2 linked regions of the Rhinolophus ferrumequinum genome follow. Each later gene encodes a partner of the first gene's protein in a complex. Links are inferred from orthologs where the notes say so. Each region holds a gene or a part of one and is shown in the gene's direction. Other genes may lie near its edges. The genes, in order: WASHC4 and WASHC3.

Evidence for each region.
Region 2: WASHC4 (region 1) and WASHC3 share a complex: the UniProt entries of both Homo sapiens proteins name them as parts of the WASH core complex. The link is inferred for Rhinolophus ferrumequinum from reciprocal best matches to the Homo sapiens genes WASHC4 and WASHC3.

Annotation. Positions count from the first base shown.
Region 1 is NC_046293.1:15,083,076-15,093,862, reverse strand, and holds the start of WASHC4 (WASH complex subunit 4), read left to right. Parts: upstream 1-6,188; 5' UTR 6,189-6,256; coding exon 6,257-6,317; intron 6,318-9,166; coding exon 9,167-9,306; intron 9,307-10,230; coding exon 10,231-10,284; intron 10,285-10,374; coding exon 10,375-10,440; intron 10,441-10,787. UniProt on the Homo sapiens protein: Acts as a component of the WASH core complex that functions as a nucleation-promoting factor (NPF) at the surface of endosomes, where it recruits and activates the Arp2/3 complex to induce actin polymerization, playing a key role in the fission of tubules that serve as transport intermediates during endosome sorting.
Region 2 is NC_046293.1:17,288,025-17,299,312, forward strand, and holds the start of WASHC3 (WASH complex subunit 3), read left to right. Parts: upstream 1-6,144; 5' UTR 6,145-6,248; coding exon 6,249-6,299; intron 6,300-6,864; coding exon 6,865-6,963; intron 6,964-11,288. UniProt on the Homo sapiens protein: Acts as a component of the WASH core complex that functions as a nucleation-promoting factor (NPF) at the surface of endosomes, where it recruits and activates the Arp2/3 complex to induce actin polymerization, playing a key role in the fission of tubules that serve as transport intermediates during endosome sorting.

The DNA of each region.
Region 1 (10,787 bases):
AATTGTCTAAAACAATTCTAGTAATATTTTGTGCAGCTCCTAAATACATATAATTAAAATATATGATGAGAATAGCATATGATTTTTAGGGAGAGAAGGTAGAGTGAAAGTGTTCTAAGGCCACTGCATTGCCTTAGAAATAATAAAAGCACTAATTTATGTTATACTTTAGTAAGCTAAGGATGCCTATTATAATCTAGTATAATCACTAAAAGAATAGTAATACAATGTATAACTACTAAGTTAGTAGAATGTAAAACTATCGGATAATAGAACAATAAAAAAAACCAATTCAAAAGAAGAGAATGAGGAACATGGAATAGGCAGAAAAAAATAGTAGGAAACAAGTAACATGTTAGATTTAAGCTTAAATATACCAGTAATTGCAGTAAATGAAAATGGAAAATGGAAATGAAAAAATACTTTATTTTTTTTAATTCGCATATAAAGTTCTGTACACTCATTCTTAGCCCCTGTCCCACACTCCATGGAGAGTCATATAGGTCATTTATTTAACCTATTCCTGCTGCCAGACATTAGGTTGTTTCTAGTCTCTCTCCTGAGCAACCTTCAGTAAGCGACCAGTCTTCGTCCTCACGAAAGGATCCTGTCAGGTCTTTAGGATGAGATATGGTTTCTGAACCATAGGGAGCAGTTTAAACACTAATGCATATCACCAGATTACACCTAAAAGGTGGGATACAAAAAGTGATCTTTTTCTTAGCAGCTCTGGGGATTATCATCAGCCTTTATAAAATATGTATATTTTAATTTTTTTTATTTAAACTAAACAAGAAAACCCAGTTCAACCATTTCTAACTGCTTTAATTAAAGGGCAAATCTTGTCAGATTGCTTAAAAAAACAAAACTCTTACAAGGGAGACTCATAAAATGTAAAGTTCAGAATGTGATTTTTTTAGAAACCACCCATACACTAACCAAAAGAAAATGTTAATCTGACAGAAAGACATAAAAATTTTAAATTTGTATATGCTTAGTAACATAGTCTCAAATTTTATAAAGCACAAATGATCAGAATTTCAAGGAAAAATAGACAAACCTGCAAGTATACTTGAAGATTTTGACATACTTTACTTAATAACTGATCGAAGCAGACAAAATACTAGCAATGACACAGAACATTTAAATAAGATGATTAATGCACTTGACCTAATTAACAAATACAGAAGCATACAACTACCAAATACACATTCTTTTTAAATGCGTACAAGATATTGTCAAAAATTCACCATATGCTAGCCTCTAAACACTTTAAATCATAGAGTACGGCTCTGGCTACAGTGGAATTAAGCTAGAAATCAACAACAAAAAGATAATTGGTGGCATCACCACTTCTTTGGAAATTATAAAATGCACTTCTAAATAACGATAGGGAAAGTTGCTGGAAGAGATGGTATGTTATTTGCCTTTCCCAGTGTTGGTGTTTGAGGGAGCACCGTGTGTCTATAGACATTCCCAAGACATCTTTGCTGAGACGAAGGAAATGAGAGAAAAGTGCCTAGTCTAGAGAAAGCTGAAGAAGCAAAGTTGAAAGCAAGTTACCCTTATCTAAGATGAAAGTTTGGGGCCTGAAATAAACTTTTTTCAGTTTTTCCTATTTATCTTTCACTTGCCAGCTTTTGGAGCAGGCATTCCTTTTGGATCTTGTTTCCATTAGTATAACTGCTTTCCTGTGACCCAATATTATAGTAGATGACAACCTTGAGAGTATCCACTGACAGATTGTCAACTGCAGGAAGCATGACTGACTGATGGGTTCAGCTGTTGTACTCCAAAATTGATCTCCACATTCACACTGAGTCCATGCCTCCCATGGGTTTCTCCCAGCCAATGACCAAGAGGGCCAGGTATACTAAGGCAGGTCATTCCTGGGAGATGTAGATCACGGTCATGAGGTGACTCTCTATTGGCCTACCAGATTTTCTTTGAATTTCAGAGCATTTTAATACTCTTCCCTAGCCTACTTTTCTTCCTTCTCTCCTTCTCTCCTGAATTGCAGCCTAATGGGTGTCTTAGCCTTCCCTGGCTCCGCTCTCCCTTTCTTCTTACAGCTGTTTCCCCTAATAAATCCCTCCCATGTCTAATCTCATCTTGGCATCTCCTTTGAGGACCAAATACATACAATAAAAAGGATCAACAAAACCAAAAGTTGGTTTTTTGAAAATAAAATGGATAAACTTTTGAGGAGATTGATGAAGAAAAAATAGAGAAAGCAGAAATAACAAATATCAAGAACAGAGAAGTGAACATTAGACCAGATCATACAGACATTAAAAACATAAAATGAGACTTCATTTTAAGTTATAATACTCCTTTTCAGCAGAACAACACTCATCAAGAATAGTTAGTATATTTCGATAAAACAAATTTAGCACATATCTGAAGGCATCAGAAAGCTTATGCAGCAGTCAAGACTTGATGTATCAAGGTCTTGGAAGGAAAAGAAGCTCACTTGAATTGAATCCAACAATTCAAATGTTGAATTGAATCTAACATTTTGCATTTTGCTCTTCAACTTGGCATTTATCAATGCTTGGTTTGGGGAAAGAAGCTGACCAGGTAGCGAATAAATGCCAAAAGGCAAAGAAACCAGCAGTTTTTCAGGCATCTGATGGGGTTAGAAAGAACAACAATTGGAGTTTGAGTGGCCAGGACTTGAGGAGCCAATATTTTAAAGATAAGGGAGATGTACCTATTTCACGACACCTGTTTTCAGTTTGAGTTATTTGCTGATTCTTATGGAATATGGGATTAAGGCTATAAAACTAAGAAGAAAATGCTGAAAAGCAAAGCAGTTTTCAGTATCAAGAAACTGAATAGTATCAAGAAACACCTGCCAAGAAGAAGGGAGTCCAGTGAACAGCTCAGGCTCTCAACTGCTATTCTAAGAAGACATCACCCTAGGAGAGAGTGTGATCTACAGGTAGAGCACTACTGTAAGACCAGCCCACTACTTGGGATAACAGTATCCTGGTTTTCCTCTGAGGATCTGCTTCTCCCCCTCTCTTAGGCCATGTGGTTCCTATGAAGTTACCTCTCCCTCAACCCCTCCCTGCAGGATCCAGTGGTGAAGCACATGACCTAGACTAAGCCAATCCGTACATCCTTCCCATCCCCTGACTTACAATGATTGGTTCAGCAGTATACACAATGTGTTAGTAATGAGGCGAATCAAGGCCAGCCACTTAATTCTGGGACTTCTGTTTGAGCTATCAGTTGCATGTTCCTTTTTTCTCTTTTGCTAGATCTGGTATGGTGATGAGCCTGAAACTGCCAAGGGCTACCACATAGCAAAAGCTGTGAAGAAACAAAAAGAAAAAGTGAAAATCCAAGAGCTGACATCATTTAAATCCTGAAGTCCAATCCTGAAGTCACATGTGAAGGCCAATCCCACAAAGAGATGTATTAAAATTAACATACAGCAAAATGGCCTTTATTTTTGGTATACAGTTCTGAGTTTTAACAAATGTATAGATCTCTGTAAGGAACCAATCAGGATACAGAACAGTTCTACTCCCCATAGCCCCCACCCCCAAATTCCTTGCCCTATCCCTTTGTAGTCATGTCTACGAACCACCCCTTAATCCTGATAACCACTAAAATGTTCTCTACCACTGTAGTTTTATTTCCTCAAGAAAGTCAAATGAATGTAATCACAGACTGTGTAACTTTTTAGACTGATTTTCTTCATTAAACATAATGCACTTGAGATTTGTGCTAATATTTAGGGAATTCCAGGGATTTTGAGATTCTTCTGTTATTGATTTCTAATACAATTCCATTGTGGTCAGAGAATATAACTATAACATTTCAATCCATTTAAATGTAGTGAGACTTGTTTCGTGGCATAGTATATGGCCTGTCTTACTGAATATTTCTTGTATGCTTGAAAGAATGTCTCTTTTACTGTTGTTGGGTAGAATGTCTTATACATATCAATTCGGACAAGTTGGTTGAGATATCATTCAATCCTATATTCTGTCTACTTGTTATATCAAATACCAAGAGAGAAGTGTTAAAATTTTCAACTGTACTTATAATTTTATCTATTTCTTCTTTCTATTCTGTCAGATTTTGGTTAATAAAACTTTATCACTCATTATCAAAAAATGCCAATTCGGTGACTCTCTGTGATATTCTTAAGAAAATTATTGTGGTTTTAATTTAGAAAGAAGTAAGTTTGCTTGGACTCAAACCTTGTAGAGTACAGCAGCTTATTTTTCTGCTTAGTTCTTCATTTAGACAAAGATTTGGCCAGTGTTTTTGCTCAGATTTTGGAGTTCACTCCCTTTGTAGTTCCCTTGATTATCAGTTTTTCCTTCTAAATTTCAAGCTGCTCTGTGAGCCCAACCTCTGTTCTCCGCTATCTTAAACCCACAGGGTGTTAGCTTTTGCTACCTGATGTGCACATCTGTTGGAGAATATGTGCATCAAAGGGCAGCAAACACACCTCTCAACAGTTGTTTTTCAAGGACTCCTGACTGCTATTTCAGCAGACCCTCTTTCATGTAGTTTAGTGGTCAGCCAGGAATCAGGGCAGGGTTTATATTCGGAATTTAGATTTCATCCCTTCTGTGTGTCCCTTGCTTCAGGATTCCCCCCTACCCCCCAAATTTCTGGCATCTCTTCCAACAACCCTGAACTTAATTTTGCTCCACCTCGAGCCAGTAAAACTGCAGTGTTGCAATCCTGTATTTGAAGCGATGAAAGACACTGTCAGGCAAAAAGCCATAAACATAATTATTACCAGTTGCTGAATAAATTTTCCTGTGGTTTCTGCCTGCTTTTATTCTCTTTCAGATCTTTAAAAAGTTATTTTTATCTACTTTATTAACTGCAAACCAGTCTATTTGAGTACTTTAGGTTGCCTCCTTGCCTCCAGGACCTAGAGGTGTCCTGTCAATTACTTTGATGTATTAATTATAAGACTTTTCTAAGATCATTATGCTTTTTAAATTAGGTTATTTCAACCCACTCTGTAGACTACAGCTTATATAGAAAGACTTTTTTTTTTCTTATTTTGCTCTTCTGAAGTTAAAGTAAGGGCTGGCAAACTTTCTCTTAAGGGCCTGATAGTAAATATTTTAGCCTCCTGGGCAATATGGTCACTGTAGGGACTACTCCACTCTGCCATTGTGTTATGAAGCAGCCATAGACAATATGCAAATACATGGGCATGATTGTGTTCCATTAAATCTTTATTTACAAAAGCAGGTGGCAGATCTATCAACTGTACTTTGTTGATCCCTGAGTTAAAATATCTTACTAATTTCCCTTACCAGACAACCGAACTCTTTGAAGGGTTTTAGTCCCTGTGGTAATATTAACCAGAGGAGGTCTTGATTAAATACTGGTTGAAGACATTAACAGTTTTCGCATGCCTCTATAAATCTATTTCATTTCGTTTGACAGATATCTAGTATTTCATAGTGTGGATTATTAAACTTTACGTAATTATTCCCTGTTGATGGACATTTGTATCTTGTCCTATTAGTATCTGTTAAAAACCATGCAGCAATGAACATTAGTGTAAGTAGCGTTACTGGGTAACACAGATTCTTATTTTCGGAAAAGCCAGGTAGCAGGTAGACATTTAAAAACACACTTAGACAGCGCTTTCCCCCTCCCCCCACCTTTGAGAGCAGGGGGAGGAGAGCGTGCAAGTATCACATAAGTAGAGTAGTAAAATTCCTCGCTATGGTTTGTTGTTTGTAAAGTCACTATTCCTCGCAGTTCTTTGTTTTTTTCAAGAACGATCCGCACAAGACGTGCAGGAAGAAAGCAGCTCTCGGATGGTGATGACAGGTAGAGCGTTGAAAATGCTGGCTTCTTGGAAGAATCGCCTGGACAGCGACTTCCTCGAGGATCGGACCACGCCTTCCTGTTAAGCCCCCACCTCATCAATTTTGCCCTTTTTAGGCTCGACTGAGGGAGCAACTCCCAGGTATTAAAAGTAGCTTGGAGACAGCAGGGCGAAATTGAGGGTATAGGTGTGGCATCAGAAGAGAGCAGTGGCGAAGCCCAAGTAGAAACGGGAGGACACCGTGAGGACCGCCGCCTCAACTGCAGCTCCCTTCGGCCACCGGGTAGGACTCGCTTTCCCAGCGGCCCCCGCGCCCCTCGCGCACGGGGGTGGTGCCAGAGCCGGAAATCACGTGTTTTGACAGCCGCTGGGGTGAGGCCGCCGTAGTCCACCAGGCTGGCTGGAGCTGTGACTGAGGGAGGCGTCGTAGTGATGGCGGTGGAGACTCTGTCCCCGGACTGGGAATTCGACCGCGTCGACGACGGCTCACAGAGTAAGGGAGCAGCAGGGATAGGGCTGCGGGTGGGAGCTTCCGCTCCGGCCTCAGCCTTGGCGGCGTTTCTGCGGGAGGGCTTGCGTCGCGGTCGCTGCGCAGCCGTCGGGTTCGGGGCACTTTCTGCCCATTGAGAGGGACGCGTTCTCAAGCGCGTTACTTTTGGGGATAAGGGTCCCAGCAATGGCGGGTCAGGCTGGCGCGATGAGGGCTCGGCATTCGGGGCGGTGACTCTCCAGAGGAGCCCGCGGTGCCCCTGGGGGAGCGGCGTCCACTTTCTGCAGCCGGGGGACGCGGGCGGGGCGTGTCCAGGGAGGCCCAGCAGCCCCGGGAGCGGAGGCTGGTCCTGTCTTTGGACTCTCGGGGCTTTCGCCAGATCATCAGAGCGTTCAGTTCTAGCAGAGGCTGAGGTCCGGGTTCCTGTTTCGGTTTCCTGTTTTTCTTTTTTCCCTCCCCAGTCAACTTTTGGAAGTTTGAGTGGTTTTTCCTTCACATTCTTACAACCGTTGAAGATAGCGAAAAGGAACTCTTCTCATGGTGAAATTAACACGTGATTGCTAATTTATCTCCTTCCATGTCTTTTATTTACGTTAAATGAAAGTGATGTCCTGTACTTTCCATTGTCGCTAGAAAGGTTTCAAAAATTACAGCAAATCTGCCTCACGTTTTGCTTCATAAAATCGAGTTGTCTGACTTTAACTTAGAATCCAGTGACAGGAAACTGACCAATTTAGTTCCACGTAGCAAAATTTAGAGGCCAAACTAATTATTGTAGTGAAACTCTTAAGATTAACACAAGTTGGCAGTCTGTTTTTTTGGTGCTATTAATCTGTTTAAGTGATATTGGAGATACTGGGACATACTGCTTGTGAATTTGTTTTTAATACAAGTTTTCCAAAAGGTGAATGTAATTTTAAAAAATTACCTATGAATTTTGCTTGATTTTATAAAGAAAGAGTGGTGTACAAACTTAGGTGTAATTAGGTTTTAGTCTTTCAAAGAAGCGTGAGTAAATTAAGGGATGGTTTGCAGTTTTTCACTCTATAAGGTATTAGCTCTTTTGCAGCCTTAGAAAACAATCTTGGTGGTGATAACAAAATTCTCTAACTTTTTTTGTGGAGAGGATTCTGTATTTACTGTTACAAAGTGAACTGCACCTTATCATGTATGAAGGTCTATGGACAAAGGTCCCCAACTCTGCCTTTGGAGTAAAGAATGAATTCTTATGTGTAAAATAGAATATTTACTTTCATCTTCAAAAAATTGTGATAAAAACATCTTATTGGGTTTAAAAATGGTTCACCTTAGAGTACAGTGATCTGATTCACTCAGCAGACGTTTTCTGTATACCAGTTGCTATGCTAGGTATTAGGGATACAAAGATAAAACAAAGAATGTAGTCTGTTGGAAGAGATAAGCATGTAAATTGGTTTTTGGAATTTCACTCTTGAATAATCACCACATAGTTTTTTACTTCAAATTTTTTTATTTTAACTTTTACTAATTTTACAACTATTTCTTATCAGCAAGGAACTTGAATGTTATTACAGGTTTTCTGTTGCCTGATACTTTGTGAATTCCCAGACTAAATAAGTAATTTATTGGCATGTTTTTCTAGTATTGTCATTAAGAACTTATTTGTTGAATAAATACAACTAAGGTCATTTTCCATGTAACTGAGAATTAAATGTGTACTTGGGATTTTGAGAATCTTACACGGTTTTTATTTTAAGCTATAGGGAAGAGCTCATCTCATCTCTTCTCTGTGCCTGATTTTCATTAATTTTTGGACTATGAATCATATCTAGACTAATTGTTTTTCAGAATTGCCTAGATTAATGAGAACCTTAATGAACTAAATGGATCCACCTGATTCAAGTGCATTAGTTGCAAAATAAGGGAGAATGGGGAGCTAGATCTTTATTTTATCCTTAACGTATCAGAAGATACTTTATCTTAGAGTTGCTTCTCATTGCTAATTTGAGGAGAGACAATTGTACCTTTTTTAGAAGACAGGGATTGGATAAAGTTAATAAAAGAAACTGAGTCGGAGTTGAATTTGCTGCTTTTGTAATAAATGAATTCTTATGTATGAGGTGGAATACGTATTTACTTTCATTAATATTGACCAATAGGCATAGCTTTATTGTTAAGTTTATTCCAATGCCTCTTTGGAGTCATCTATTAATGTGTAAATTCTGTAAATATCACCACATTATTCTGTACTTAGTGTTCTTTACTGGCTTTTCCAACTCTATTATGATAGTTAAATAATGAAAGCAAATCTTGGTAAATTTGGGGGCATTGCAATAATAATCATTATGATGAAGCAGGTCTAAATGCATTTTAAAAACATTTATATAGGTGTATTTTTAAACAGGTGCATAGAATTAAGAATTATGTTTTTAAATTTTGCTTGTATGACAACACAGATTTTTACACTTAATTCAGGTCATGAATTTATTTTATTTTTTGCAAAAATGTTGTTTAAGCCTAAAACATAAAATTAAGACATTGCATAGTCTAAGGAATTATTCAGATTGTTTAAAAGCCCTGGATTATAGGGTAAATGGTAATGACTTTTTCATACTACTTTAAAATTAGTTTTAAGGTGATATATATCTCTCTGTATATGGCAACATCTGCTTTTAATATTATTTTATCTGGAAAATATTGAAAGCTGAATTACCGTTTAACTTTGAATCTTTATTTTCAAGAAGTCCAGACATTCCAGAGTAATACATTTAGTAATGCTTAGTATCTACTTCGCTGTGACTTTTGAGATTATATAAAGTAAATGTCGTGTCATTTTTGTACTTCTCACATGTTGTTTTAAAATTTAAATTTAGAAATTCATGCTGAAGTTCAACTTAAGAATTATGGGAAATTTCTTGAGGAGTATACATCTCAATTGAGAAGAATTGAGGATGCACTAGATGATTCAATTGGAGATGTTTGGGATTTCAATCTTGATCCCATAGCATTAAAGGTTTGATTTTTTTTTTTTGTATACATTTTCAGGACATATTATATCTTGAAAACATAATTGTTAAAAATGGAGCATATATTATTTGGAATCTAGAAAATAAAAGAAATTTGGAGAAAATTGTTAATTTCCTTTTCTATGCTATGCAGATATTTTTGTATGTTTTTGTTTTTTTTTTAAAGAATGACACACACTCAAAGCCTTTAGTGTCAAGAATGTCACATAGTCCATCCAACTCTTTGAGCTAGCCTTTGTTTTTCATTTTCAAGAAAATGAAGAAGATTGGAATAGAATATTCAGGCTGCATTTGTTTCTTATAGAGGTTATTTTGCATACAATGAAATGCATAAATTGAAAATATAGTGTTCAGTGATTTTGCCAAACACATATACCCATGCAACTCATATCTCAATCAAGATAACAGAATATTTTCATCATTTACCATAAGTTCCTTTATGTTATTTAGGGGATCTTAATGTAGGAATAATTTTGCAATGTATAAAACAGGTTATTCTTGCTTTGTTCCATTTTGAGGTAGTTCTATCTTGTTTTGTCTTTGAAACTATAGCCTGTTACCACTTAAATAATAACATTTATTGAGCATTTATTATGTACTAGTTCTAAATCACATATTGACTTTTTAAATAACAGCTTTCTTGAGATATAATTCACATATCATTCAATTCCTTGCTTTTTAATGTATTCACAGAATTGCGCAACCATCCTTAGAGCCATTTTAGAACATTTTTACCACCCCAAATAGACATCCTGTACCCACTAGTAGTTACTCCCCATCTGGTATGGTGCTAGTATTGAATATAGGGTCTAATACAAGTTAAATAGAATAGAGCTAGTCTCAATTTGTGCATTTAAGATTTCAGTGATTCTTTTCAAATTAAAAAGATGTTCTTTTCCTTGTTTCTATAGCTTTTGCCTTATGAGCAGTCTTCCCTTTTGGAACTCATAAAGACTGAAAATAAGGTACGGATTCCTAAACCTAAAAATCTATGTCTAAAATGCTTTAGTTATCTGCTATAATTTTCTTTTTTATCTTTTTACTCATGAAACTAGGTCTTAAACAAAGTCATCACGGTTTATGCTGCACTTTGTTGTGAAATCAAGAAATTAAAATATGAGGTAATTATTTGTATTCTTAAGATGTTAAAAACATTTAAAAGCAAATATGTGTTTAAATATATACAGTATGCATGAATATTTATTTATTTAAAGAAGTAATAATAATAATAATGACAGAGTACTTACTATGTACCAAGCACCATGCTAACTCTGTTAATACTTACAACAACGCAGGACGGTATGTAAGGAATAGATGGGGAAACTGAGGCTTAAAGAGGGTGTCACTTATCTAACATTTTACTGGTAGTAATTGTTTGCGTTTGGGTCTGCATACTTTCAAAGTCTGTGTTACCTGCCCTATATACTAGTGGCTTTCTGGATGTAACTGATTTTTTTAAGAAAGCTTT
Region 2 (11,288 bases), about 2.2 Mb from region 1:
TCGAAATGCTTAATTATGTCGTTTTACACTAAGCCTAACACCCTTAGGAGCTCTCTCAGGCTTCTCTGATACCTTAGGATACATCTCGCTAAGGGATACAGAATGTAATGGAGACAAAGCACAGATGCTCACAGACACCGGTCAAGGCTATGGCGGCTTGATGCTGAGACACCGAGTGGTTCGGGGGAAGGAGCTTGGCGGGGCCACTCTCATTACTCAGGTGAGTGCTGCCTGCATGAGGGCTCACTGCAAAACAAACGCTGAGCACTATTTTCCCTTTTCACCTTTCTTCATAAAAGTGAAAATCCTCTTCACAGGTACTAAGGTAGGCCTTCGGTAAAAGCCAAGTGGCGTAACAAAAACTTGAAAAGCAGGAGGTACCTGTACCCCCAGCCATCTTACGTAAGCCTTCATACATCAAATTGGCAGTCATTCACATTAGCCAATCTCCAGCTGTATCCCTGCCCTGCCTTGCCTTTCCCGATGAGGCAGAAAAAGAGTTAATGACAGTGGACCCAAGCGGGATGGCCCAGGCCTGCAGCCCCTCCCCAGGAACTGCCCAGCCTGGTCTCAGAGATAAGCTTCAAACACCCCTTAAAAAGGCAGATAAGACCCCAACGGGATTGAGTTTGTTCCTGACACCTGTGCAGATGGCTGAAGCCTAACCGCAATTAGAATAAAATGAGCATTAAGGTTTGGCACCCCTGTGGGTTTTTCTGTATGCATTATGGATAAGAGCATGCACAGAAACTCGTTATGTAACCTGCATACGTCAATCAAATGATCTCAGAGGGGCGTCACATCTCCTGCTGTAAGAAAATTTACCTGCCTTTTTCTATATAAGAAAAAGCTATCCTAGAGGAAAGGGCAGCCGTCTTCCCAAGACACTGACACTAGCTTCCTTTCTCCTGACTAATAAAACCTCTCCTTGCTTTCTCATTTGTCTGAGTCTTGTGAATGCTTTCACACTCTGCAACTGACCAGGGGTATCTAAAGATAATACATTTCCCACAGAAACCCCAATAAAGACCCTGGCCTAGGCTTTCCCCTGGCTCCTGCTTCTGTCTACCTCCTAACCAAAACCTAATGGCTCTGTGTGGCATGCATGCCCCTTTCTCCTGGGAAATGTAACTAAGAAATTCTCTCAATAGCATTAGCCTCTCTGTTTCATCACTTAGGCACCTGTATGTATTAAAACTCACGGGTACAAATGCAACTGAGACCTTTCCCCAACCCGCTCAAGGAAAGCAGTACCATCTGGCTACCTGTTTTATTGGAGACCCCCCCCCAACTGTAAGTATCTTTCGATCTCCTCTTGAAGTAGTCATCTTTCTAGAGGGGAATCCAGTCTCCGGCCTAGAGGATATAAGCCTACAACCCAGCTTTCTGAGTGAAGTTCCAAAAGCCAGAACAATTAAAAGAAGTAGCCTAAAACAACGAATTCTTAACACAATGGAAATAACTAGGATAGAATTCTTTCACTTGACTAACACTATTTTCCCTTTTCAACAGACAATTGGTATCACTCCTGAAGGGTGAGGTGGGGCAGGGATAGGGGACATTTTATTTGCCCACTATTATGAACCAATACATACCCCTTTAACTGTTCCATCTGAAGCAGAGCAGAAAGAAACACAAAAGAAAAACGGGAACTCAATTCTCATTATTTACCCCACCTAGAACTTACCCATGATGAAGTTAAATGGCAGTGATTTTTCTAGTAATCTGCTATGAAAACCAAGATAAGTATTGAAAAATTAAGATTTTTTTTTTATTGAACAGATAGATGCAGATGGCATATTAGTCTCTGCCCTTTGAAGCTGGTATCCATTACAATAAACTTGTTTTGCTATCAAAATTCACTACGGTAAATGAAATATGCTAATACATTTCCAATGAGAGAAAGCCTGCAGGAAGAAGAACATATTTCAGAGGATTTCTGGCAGTTGGCCAAGACTTACAGCTATAGATTGTTTTTAATAGTCCTGGAAATTCAGTGACTAAATTGTGACTGGCATTGCTGTCAGGAGCTAGGGATGATTGATGATCAAGGACCCCAGGAAGCAAAGAAAAACTGCCACTCTTCTTTCTCTTAACTAGAACTCTCCTCTTCTAGAATTATATTTGTCTTTTGTTTTATAAAGAAACCGAACCACTGTGAAAAAAAAGTGTTTTGTCAATTGGCCGACTGAGAACAAGTTCATGTTTCTATAATTCTATTTTATACATATATAGAGAACAGATAAATACATAACCATAAAGCGGATCTCTGATTTCGTTTTGTCTTTTTTTCCTATCTGGTTGGGAGCCTCTCCTGGCTCTGGAGAGGAAGGCTAGACTCTAGGCTGGCTTAGTTGGGATTCTGCTTTGGGGAGCTGATTGAAACAATTTATCCAGAATTGTGGGTCCCACCTAAATCAAGGATTCGTGTAAGCTGTGAAAGCACAAGGGTCATTAGGCCCCAATGCATTCAACAGGTACTGAGGGTTTACAATAGATCAGACATTGAGCTAGGGCATTAATAGTGAACAAGGCAGAATCTCTGCCCTAAATCAATGGTCTAGTGCTTCAGACAAACAAGTAAGTATAATATGTACTGAGATGAAGTGAAGCAGAAGATGCTATGGAAGGAAGCATGTATTTGGAGGAACAGTTAATCTAGTCTTGATGGATGAGGGAAAGCTGCTCTAAGGATAGGATGATTAGACTTCTGCCACTGATTAGGATATAGAAAGATGTCAGAAAGCCTCTCACATTTGTAGTAATAAGAAATAACCAGATAAAGTAATCACACTTTTCCATGGGGTTGTTGGGAAGCAGTGGATAGATCTTAATAATTAAATTCTGACAGGTATTTATGTCTAGAGGGACACAGGTGAGCAGAGAGCTGTGCATTGCCATACTCAAGAAGAAGGGTCTGGTCTGGGTATAAGTAGATGGAAGAGCAAGCCTGTGACACTCTGGGAAAATGCAGAGTCAAGAAGAAACCAGCGCAGACTTTGCCAACAGTATAAGCTGGTGGGACAGACTTGGGTCTGGAAGGAACCCAATCACAAAAATAAATCACTTAGGCCTCCATCCCAGCCCCCAGGTTGCTAAGATTGAACATGCAAGGGAGAGTGTGCCTGAAATAGGAGAGTACAGGACAAGATCCCAGGAGGAGAATTGCCGGAACTGAGAAATCAGGATACCAGAAAGATGATCTCTGTAGATACTCAAATTTCAAGAATTACAACAAGAGTAGTGTTAGAAGGAATGGCAGTGAGCCATAAACTAAGGACTTCAAGGAATGAATAACAGTAACCTAGGAGCCTGCAGATGACCGCTACGAGGATGTCATTTTATGTCTGATAGCATAAACCCAGAGCTGTGGGGCGTTTGTAAGGAAAAAGGAACAACAATGGTCTGAAAGCAATGAGAAGCAAGGAAAACACCCACCCCACCTCCTGGCCTAGTATTGTAAGGGTGTGGGTGAAAAAAGAACCACAGGATGAATAGGATGCTATATCCTCAAGAAACAGTCAAGCTTGAGTTTGAAGAGAAGAATGAGCAAAGATGAGATTGAGAAATGAAGATTTTGCCAATGACCCAATTCCCAAACCCTAGAGGAAGGGTCTAGAAGTTGGGGAGGGGTCAGGAAAGGTGATGTAGAAACCCATATGGTTGAGGTTGAGGAGAGCCTGAAGGATGAGGGATAACTTGGGAGTCCCGGACCAATTGTGAATGTTTTAAGGCACAGAGTAGTTGAGGAAAAGGTGTGTGTGGAGGGGGATTCGGGGGGGGGGCGGGGGGGACTCTTGCCAGAAGCAGGAGAGCTCATGAAAGAATGAGTGATGGTCTTCACTCCTACCAAAGGTGCTGTGTAGGCCAGGGAAGGGGTGCTCTTATCTGGAGCATGTAGATCTCGGGCGTGCAAACCTCACCACCTTTGTACATACTGTTCCTCTTTGTGGAATGCTCCTCCCCATTTGCTTCACCTTGCTAACTTTTGTATCTTCAAAATTCAGCTAAGACATCAGCTCCTCTAGGAAACCACACCTAATTTCATCAATCTGATCTGGGTGCTCCTGTTTGGGGCATACTTTAACCTAGACTACCACATTGTTAATCTTTTTGCATTTTTCTGTCTCCCTAGCTGGACTGTGAGCAACTTAATGTCTGTTTGCTTACTTGTTCATTATCTGTTTACCTTCATGAGGGCAGAATTTTTGTCTGTTCTGTTAACACTGTATCCCAGATTCATAGACTAGTGCTTGGCACATAGTAAGGAATATCTTGTGGATTGATGGATGGCTGGCTCTCTTCAATCCCTGACACCATCCCAGGTCATCCTAGATCACAGCCCTCAAGACCATGTATTAAAATTATTAATGAGTATTCATTAAAAAGCAGAGTGGCTGGTACTAAGTGAGGACTCATAAGAAAAGAAGATAATATTTACCCCAAGGAATTTAGTATATGTGCTGCCGAAGCGAGCACTTTACCCCAAGGAATTTATAACCTAATGGAAAAATTCCTACTCATGGACATTATCAAGGCAAAAAACATAAAGGACAGTTGCCTAGAGCTGTCACTCACAATGTTTATCTTATTTAGTGTGGCGCTAGTACAGTATTTAGAACATAGAAGATGCTCAATAGATGTTGTTGAAAAATAACAATGAAATATTCAATTATATGTGAAGAGATTATATAGTCACAATTACATAGATACAGAGACATGAAGAAATATATTTAAACATATTCCTCATCCTATCCATCCTCACTTCTACCTCCCATTTCTACGTCTACAAATAGTACTCTCAACTTTTCTGTTTCCAACTTTTATTGCACATCTATGTGCTAGGCAGCCTTTTTACAAATGTAAATCGTCACTCTCGTGTTCAGAATTTTTGAATGGCTCCATCACCTATAGAAATAACACCTTTTGGTTCAGAATAATGGTGGGGGCAAGCGAGGTTGATTAAAATGCGGATTTCCCCCAGAGGTCCTGAGTTTATCTAAGGTCAATTCCTGGAATGTGCATTGTAAGAAGCACCATCCACGCCCAAATAATTGATACAACTGGCCCATGGATCACACTTTGGAGAAACATGAACTAGAGTATCAAATCTGGCATAAAAGGGCCTTAATGAGCTCTTCTGTCCATTCCTGTCTCATTTGCTTCCATTTTCCATTTCTGGGATTTTTTGCTTCAGCACAACCAGTTACCCATTGCCTCTACAAACCATACTCCTCCATGCCTCTATGCCTTTGTTTGTACAAAGATCCACCCGAAATTGTCTGTCTGGCTAACTCCACTCAGGAACCTGCTAAAAAACTACCTTCTGTCGTTTAAAAGCTATCTTCTCTGGTTTTCTCAGAGGATTTAAAAGCACCTTTCGTCTACAATACCAAAGCACTTTGCCTCTGTGTGGGTGTGTGCGCACAACTTTCTCAGTATTGTTTGCACTAGATGTGGCAATTCCAGACTCTACGTCTGCCTTAGATTAAAATCTTCTTGAAGGCAGAGACGATTTTCTTCATCTTCTTAGTACTGAGCATCGTGCTTGGTATCTAGTAGAAGGGGTTCAACTTTTGGTTTGGTGACTTGTCCTAGATCACATAGCTGGTAAACTGCACAATCAAAATCTGAACCAAGATCTTCAAATCCCAGGTGCAGTCTTTTCAGGTGTCTGTGGCCCCTTTTTGATGATGTCTCTAAGTGGATATTTCCAACGTATTTCATGTTTTAAAGTCCTCTAAAAACAAGTCTTATCTTCTCTGTCAGGGCATAAAGCACAGCGGGCTTAATCTGACTCAATCTTGGTATTCCCCACAAGGCCTAGCAGAGTACCTGGCATTCAGCATAAAAAAAAAGTTACACACACACACACTTGATTAATGAATGACCCCTAGCTAAATATATTTAACAGATAAAACTAAGCAGGTATAACCTCAAAAGGACGCAATCATTTACTCTTCTTTTTTGCCTCGTTTTTAAGATTTTACTACGAGAACTGCAACCACGCTGCACCCCGCGTCTGACGTGACAAACCAGACCTAGAACTACCAATTCCAGAATGCCATGCGGGGGGCGTGCTCTCCGAGAGCCGCCGAATGATTGGCGAGCGGGGACTTTTCCTTCCGGCAGGAAGGGCCCGGGAGGCGGGGACTTGGGGGAGACGTTTAAACACTATTACCAGGTTGGGCGGGCCACGTCAGGGAGGACTTTGTGGGTGATCCCTGGGTCCCCCGCCCGCTGAGGAGATGGATGAGGACGGGCTTCCTCTCATGGGGTCAGGCATAGACCTGACCAAGGTTTGTAAAGGAAGGAGTTGAACTTCCGGTGACCTGGGAGGAGGATGGGGAAGGGACGCCCGATGCCCAGGGGGACCCCATCTCCCATGCCTCACCCTGTCCCTGGCCCCGGGCTTCTCTTCGGCCGGTCTCGGGAGGGAGAGTCCCACACTTCACCTTGAAAAGGGGTCCCTCCCGAGCTGTTTAAGGGGGTCGTGTGCCTCTCCCAGCCCTCGCTTCACGGGTCTCTATGCTCAAGGCGACATGGGCCGGTTGCGAACTCTAACCCCACCTCTTTTACTCGGCCCCCAGGTTTTTTGTGTGTTTATGTGTGCTGTCTTTACCGACAAGTTCTTACTTGTGAATCCAGAGCCCATTCTCAAACTTTTCTGCAGCTTCTGCCATCTTCGGACACCCCACCCCCACGATTTGGGAAAACAAACTATGGACTGCCTGTTGGCAGTACTAAAAGGGATTCGTGTCACACAGCTCATAAAACACCCCGTTATATTAATATCAAAGGGATTGCACAGTGTATCTTCCTCCTGTACGAATCACATATATATATATTTTTTACATAACACAGGTGCCAGCTATTCAGCAGAAAAGAACGGTGGCATTTCTAAACCAGTTTGTGGTGCACACTGTACAGTTCCTCAATCGCTTTTCTACAGTTTGTGAGGAGGTAGGTCCTGTGATACTGGTGTAATGAGTACCCTAAAAATCACTTTGCACTTCTGAAGACGGCAAATGAGTAAAACAAGAATTACAGTCTACTCTTCCCATATGAACCCAATTATGTTAACATACTTTAAATCCTTTTTGATTCTGTTACCATCAGTCCTGCACTCCACTTCTGTTGCATTAGTTTTCTAGAGGCCTTTGTGAAATAGTTCAGTAAAGCTTATGATTAAAGAGAACAAAAGGAATTCCAAAATTTCACAGTTGAAAACATTTTGTATTTTGAAATTAGTTATGTTTCTCTTACCCCAAAGATTTACATTTTCAAGTTCACATTGTTTCAGTTGATATTAAAATTATTTTACATCTTTGGAGCCAAAAAAAAAAAAAATGGGTAAGAAGGTAGCCTAGAAACATAGCTTTGGCATCAAATATCATTATGAAAATAAAAATACTTTCTGCAACTGATTTGTGAAGTGAGGATTAAGTACCCAATTAAAGATGAGAGATCCCTGTCTTTAGGGGGGAAAAAGGCAAAAAAGAGAATGGGGAGGAAATGGGAAACATGGGTTGAAATTGGATTTAAGAAAGGAGAAAGATAAACTCACATAATTCACAGGTGAGCCAATTAAATAAGCCTATTGAGTTCTTTATGTGTTGTATTTAACATAAGGTATAGCCTTAGCAAATGGAGTTTTTCTTAGATATCTGATTAATAAAAATTGCATGGAGAGAAGAAAACTATTTTCACTTGTAGATTTCAGCTGCTGTTTTTGTCTAGCTATCAAAATCTTTTCTGTCTTCTTACTAAGACAAAGGCACTGAAATGATAATTGATAGAGTAAGGGATTCAATTCAATATATTTTATCTAATAGGTCCAGAGACTAGGTGCTTGCTTCAGTGAGTTTTATATTGCTGCCTCTCTAAATGGGTGTAGAATTGACTGACCAAAAACCAGTAAACCAAGGATTTAGTCCTTCACTTTTTATGTCAGGGATGGGTAGAGAAGTATCTGGACAGCGACTATTCCAGGATTGTTAGTAGAGAGGAGCAGATACTCCATCCCCTCATCACTGGGTTAAAAAATAAACAGCAACAGCCAGCAAACACACCTATGAAAGCAACTTAACTGAGCTGCTCTGGGCCAAGGATAGCGCCTCACCTCTGTAGTGCCTCATGGTTTTCATGGCCTGGGCAGTGAGTACTGTCGACTGGGGACTAGATCAGATATAACAATCATCATCTCTTGTTTACTGATTTCTTAGGAATTATCAGAGCCTCGTGATTCATTCTTTTCTCCCCTTCTCAACTTCCTCTCTCAACTTCCCCTCAGCTGTTTTCACTGTATTGTTCACTATTCCCTAGTTCTTCCTTGAACTCTAGAGACAAGCTTGTTAACTAAAAACTCATGAAGTTTAAATGTTTATTGCCTTTTTCTCCTTAATGAATGATACTCTAGGTTGACTAGGACTCATTATTTACAATTCATATTTTAGCAGTTTGGATATAGTTGTAGACTGTTTGCTGGGTGTGATGACAGTGCTTATTCCGTGCTAGGCATTGTACTAATTGCTTTACATATCTTTAATCATTCCAGCCAGCCCTTTGGAAGAGGTCCAGCTATCTCTCTCTTAGAAATACAGAAACAAGATGTAGAGAAGTTTAAATCATTTGTTTAGCCATTCATTCATTCATTCAACATATATTTAAGTGCATAGTATTTATAGCTGCAGTAACTGCGCTAACTTGCCCACACTCACAGAGCTGGAAAATAGCAGAGCTGGGATTCCAACTCTGATCTACTCACTGGAAAAAACAAAAATGTCTCCCTATTCAGTTATATTGCATCTTCTGCCCTGAATAAGAGGCATGTTTACATCATTTGCAAGTGAGAGACTTCAAAGTGTCTTTTTTATAGCTATTTCAAATTGTATTTTTCAGATACGTATTCTCTTTGCTATGCCATATCCCTTTGATGTAATGTCTTTTTGATATGATGAATTCAAAGGACATAATATATGTGTTCAAACATAAGGTGCCATTTTATTCCAAGTTAAGATTAATGTGGTTTTTTGACATGGCACCTAGTAGGTCTATAATCCTCATTTAAAGCCTCAAACAAGAACCCAAATGACTGTTTCCCTCAACAAAACATGAACCTCAGCTGTTATGTGTTGAACTGGAAGTTAATGGGGGAGGGAGGGAAGAAATACCTGTTTGTGTTTTGTTTTTTGTTTTTCATACAATCTGGTTTGAACCAAACCCAAACTGTAACAACTTCAGTCACTGCTAAACTTAAACTGTAATTAAATTTGAAATAAATTGCTGGGGCTCTCTTCATCACTAATACTGGTTTTAGAGTTCTCTAGTAAAGAGAAAAGTGAAGAACTTAACTTTTAAAAAACTTTCTGGATACCAGACTACTTTGTAACTGTTCTAATGACTGGATCCAGGGTAGGAAAGAAGTTAGAAGAGGGAGAAAGGAAAGTAGCTGAATCAGATCCAAGTTGCAGAGTTACTTAGGGTCATCTCTTCACAAATCCCCAGTAAGCATTTCTACTCTGGCCCTAATCAGCAAAATCTTATGGTGGTCCATTGGGACTGCTAATTTAAATTGGGAGTGGGGTGGGTGGGGCATTCAATGCAAGTTCTATGCATATTGCAGATAAAAGTGAGCAGAAATTTAACCTTATATTGAATTTTAAAGTCAAAGCTACTCTATAAACAGGATAGTCAGATGTGTCATTTTGACTCAGACTTGTAACATGCCTAGAATACTGGGTTTTTAATCATTTAAAACATATTCTAAAATGTTTCTTTTTGTTTCTAAAATCTTAAGTATAGGCAAAACTGCTGAGAATTCTCACATAATCTAAAAAACTTTACAGTGCTTATCTTCTACATCCAGTTTTAAGCCCACCATCGGACTTATCAACCAAATAATGTTTTGTTTAAAACTATTTATTGCTACAAGTTTTTACAACTGCTTTTACAACTTTTACAACTGCTGGGCTTAAGTGTCAGATGAAGCTTAATAAAACCAGCAATTGCTTCCCTTTCTGGCTGTTCGGACACGTACAATCCAGTGTGATATACCAAGAGATCCATTATTTTAAAATACTGTTTCTCTTTTAGAGAATTGGATATGCACACTGGATATTTTACAAACCTAAAAACCACAGTATTTTATTTTTGTTTCCATGTTTAACTATTCACTCCATATTTCTTCCTTTCGTCTTCTTTTTCACTTTAATAAAATACTCTGCGTTAGAAATAGATGGGTGATAAATCAAGAAGTTTTCAGCTCAGCTTACAGATTTCAGGTAACTTGTAAATTCCTCTACTGTCCCAAGCCAAGGTATATTTCAGGTTTGCTTTAAATCCTTATAAAGATAAAAGGGTGGCTAAATACATGGGAAACTGATGTCTTTCCATTTCCTCCTTGCTTAAACTTTCAGAGATGGGCACAGTTACTCTCGTTGGTTATATTATTTATATTCATAGTCAAGTCATCTACACGTTAAAGCAGTGGTTCTGAACTACGAGACATTTGGCAATGTCAAGAAATATTTTTAGTTGTCACGACTGGAGAGTACTAGTGGCATTGAGTGGATAGAGGTCAGAGATTCTGCTACACATCCTATAGTGCACCAGACAGCCCCCCACAACAAAGAATTGTCTAGCCCAAAATGTCAGTAGACCCAAGGTTAGAAACTTGCTTTGTAGTAGTCTGGGGTTGTACAAGGAAAATGCAGAAGGCATCAACATCTTAGAAATGAACTTCAGCAGCCCATAAATGAAGCCAGGTATAGTTGATCAAGTGACAATGGCTTTTCTAAAGAGTATGTATTTATGTACTTTATAGGAATAATTATATGTTATGGGAATAACAGTTATACCAAATTATCTTTGAAAAGCAGAGATTCTTAATTTGTGCCATGTACACTTTGGTAGTCTAATGAAACAAAATTTATGTTTTTAAATGTATAAAATAAAATGTATAGGATTACAAAAGAAATCAATTACATACTTTAAGAAAAACTCAAAATTTTGACGTAGTATGTCTTTTATTAAAGCATTATATTGTATAATCCAGATAACATGTAAATTTTAAGAGCCTCGTGCTCTACCGACTGAGCTAGCTGGGAGCCTCTATGTAATCTTTTAGACTCTCAAAAACCAGCTCTAGAGAAGATGGATAATACTTTTATGGATAATAAAATAACGTGGTTTATCTACAACAAAAATCTTCCCTAGCCAGGAGAAAAAGTCATTGTTGATCAGATTTTAAGAAAATCATTTGCATAGTAGTTTTAAACTGGGGTACA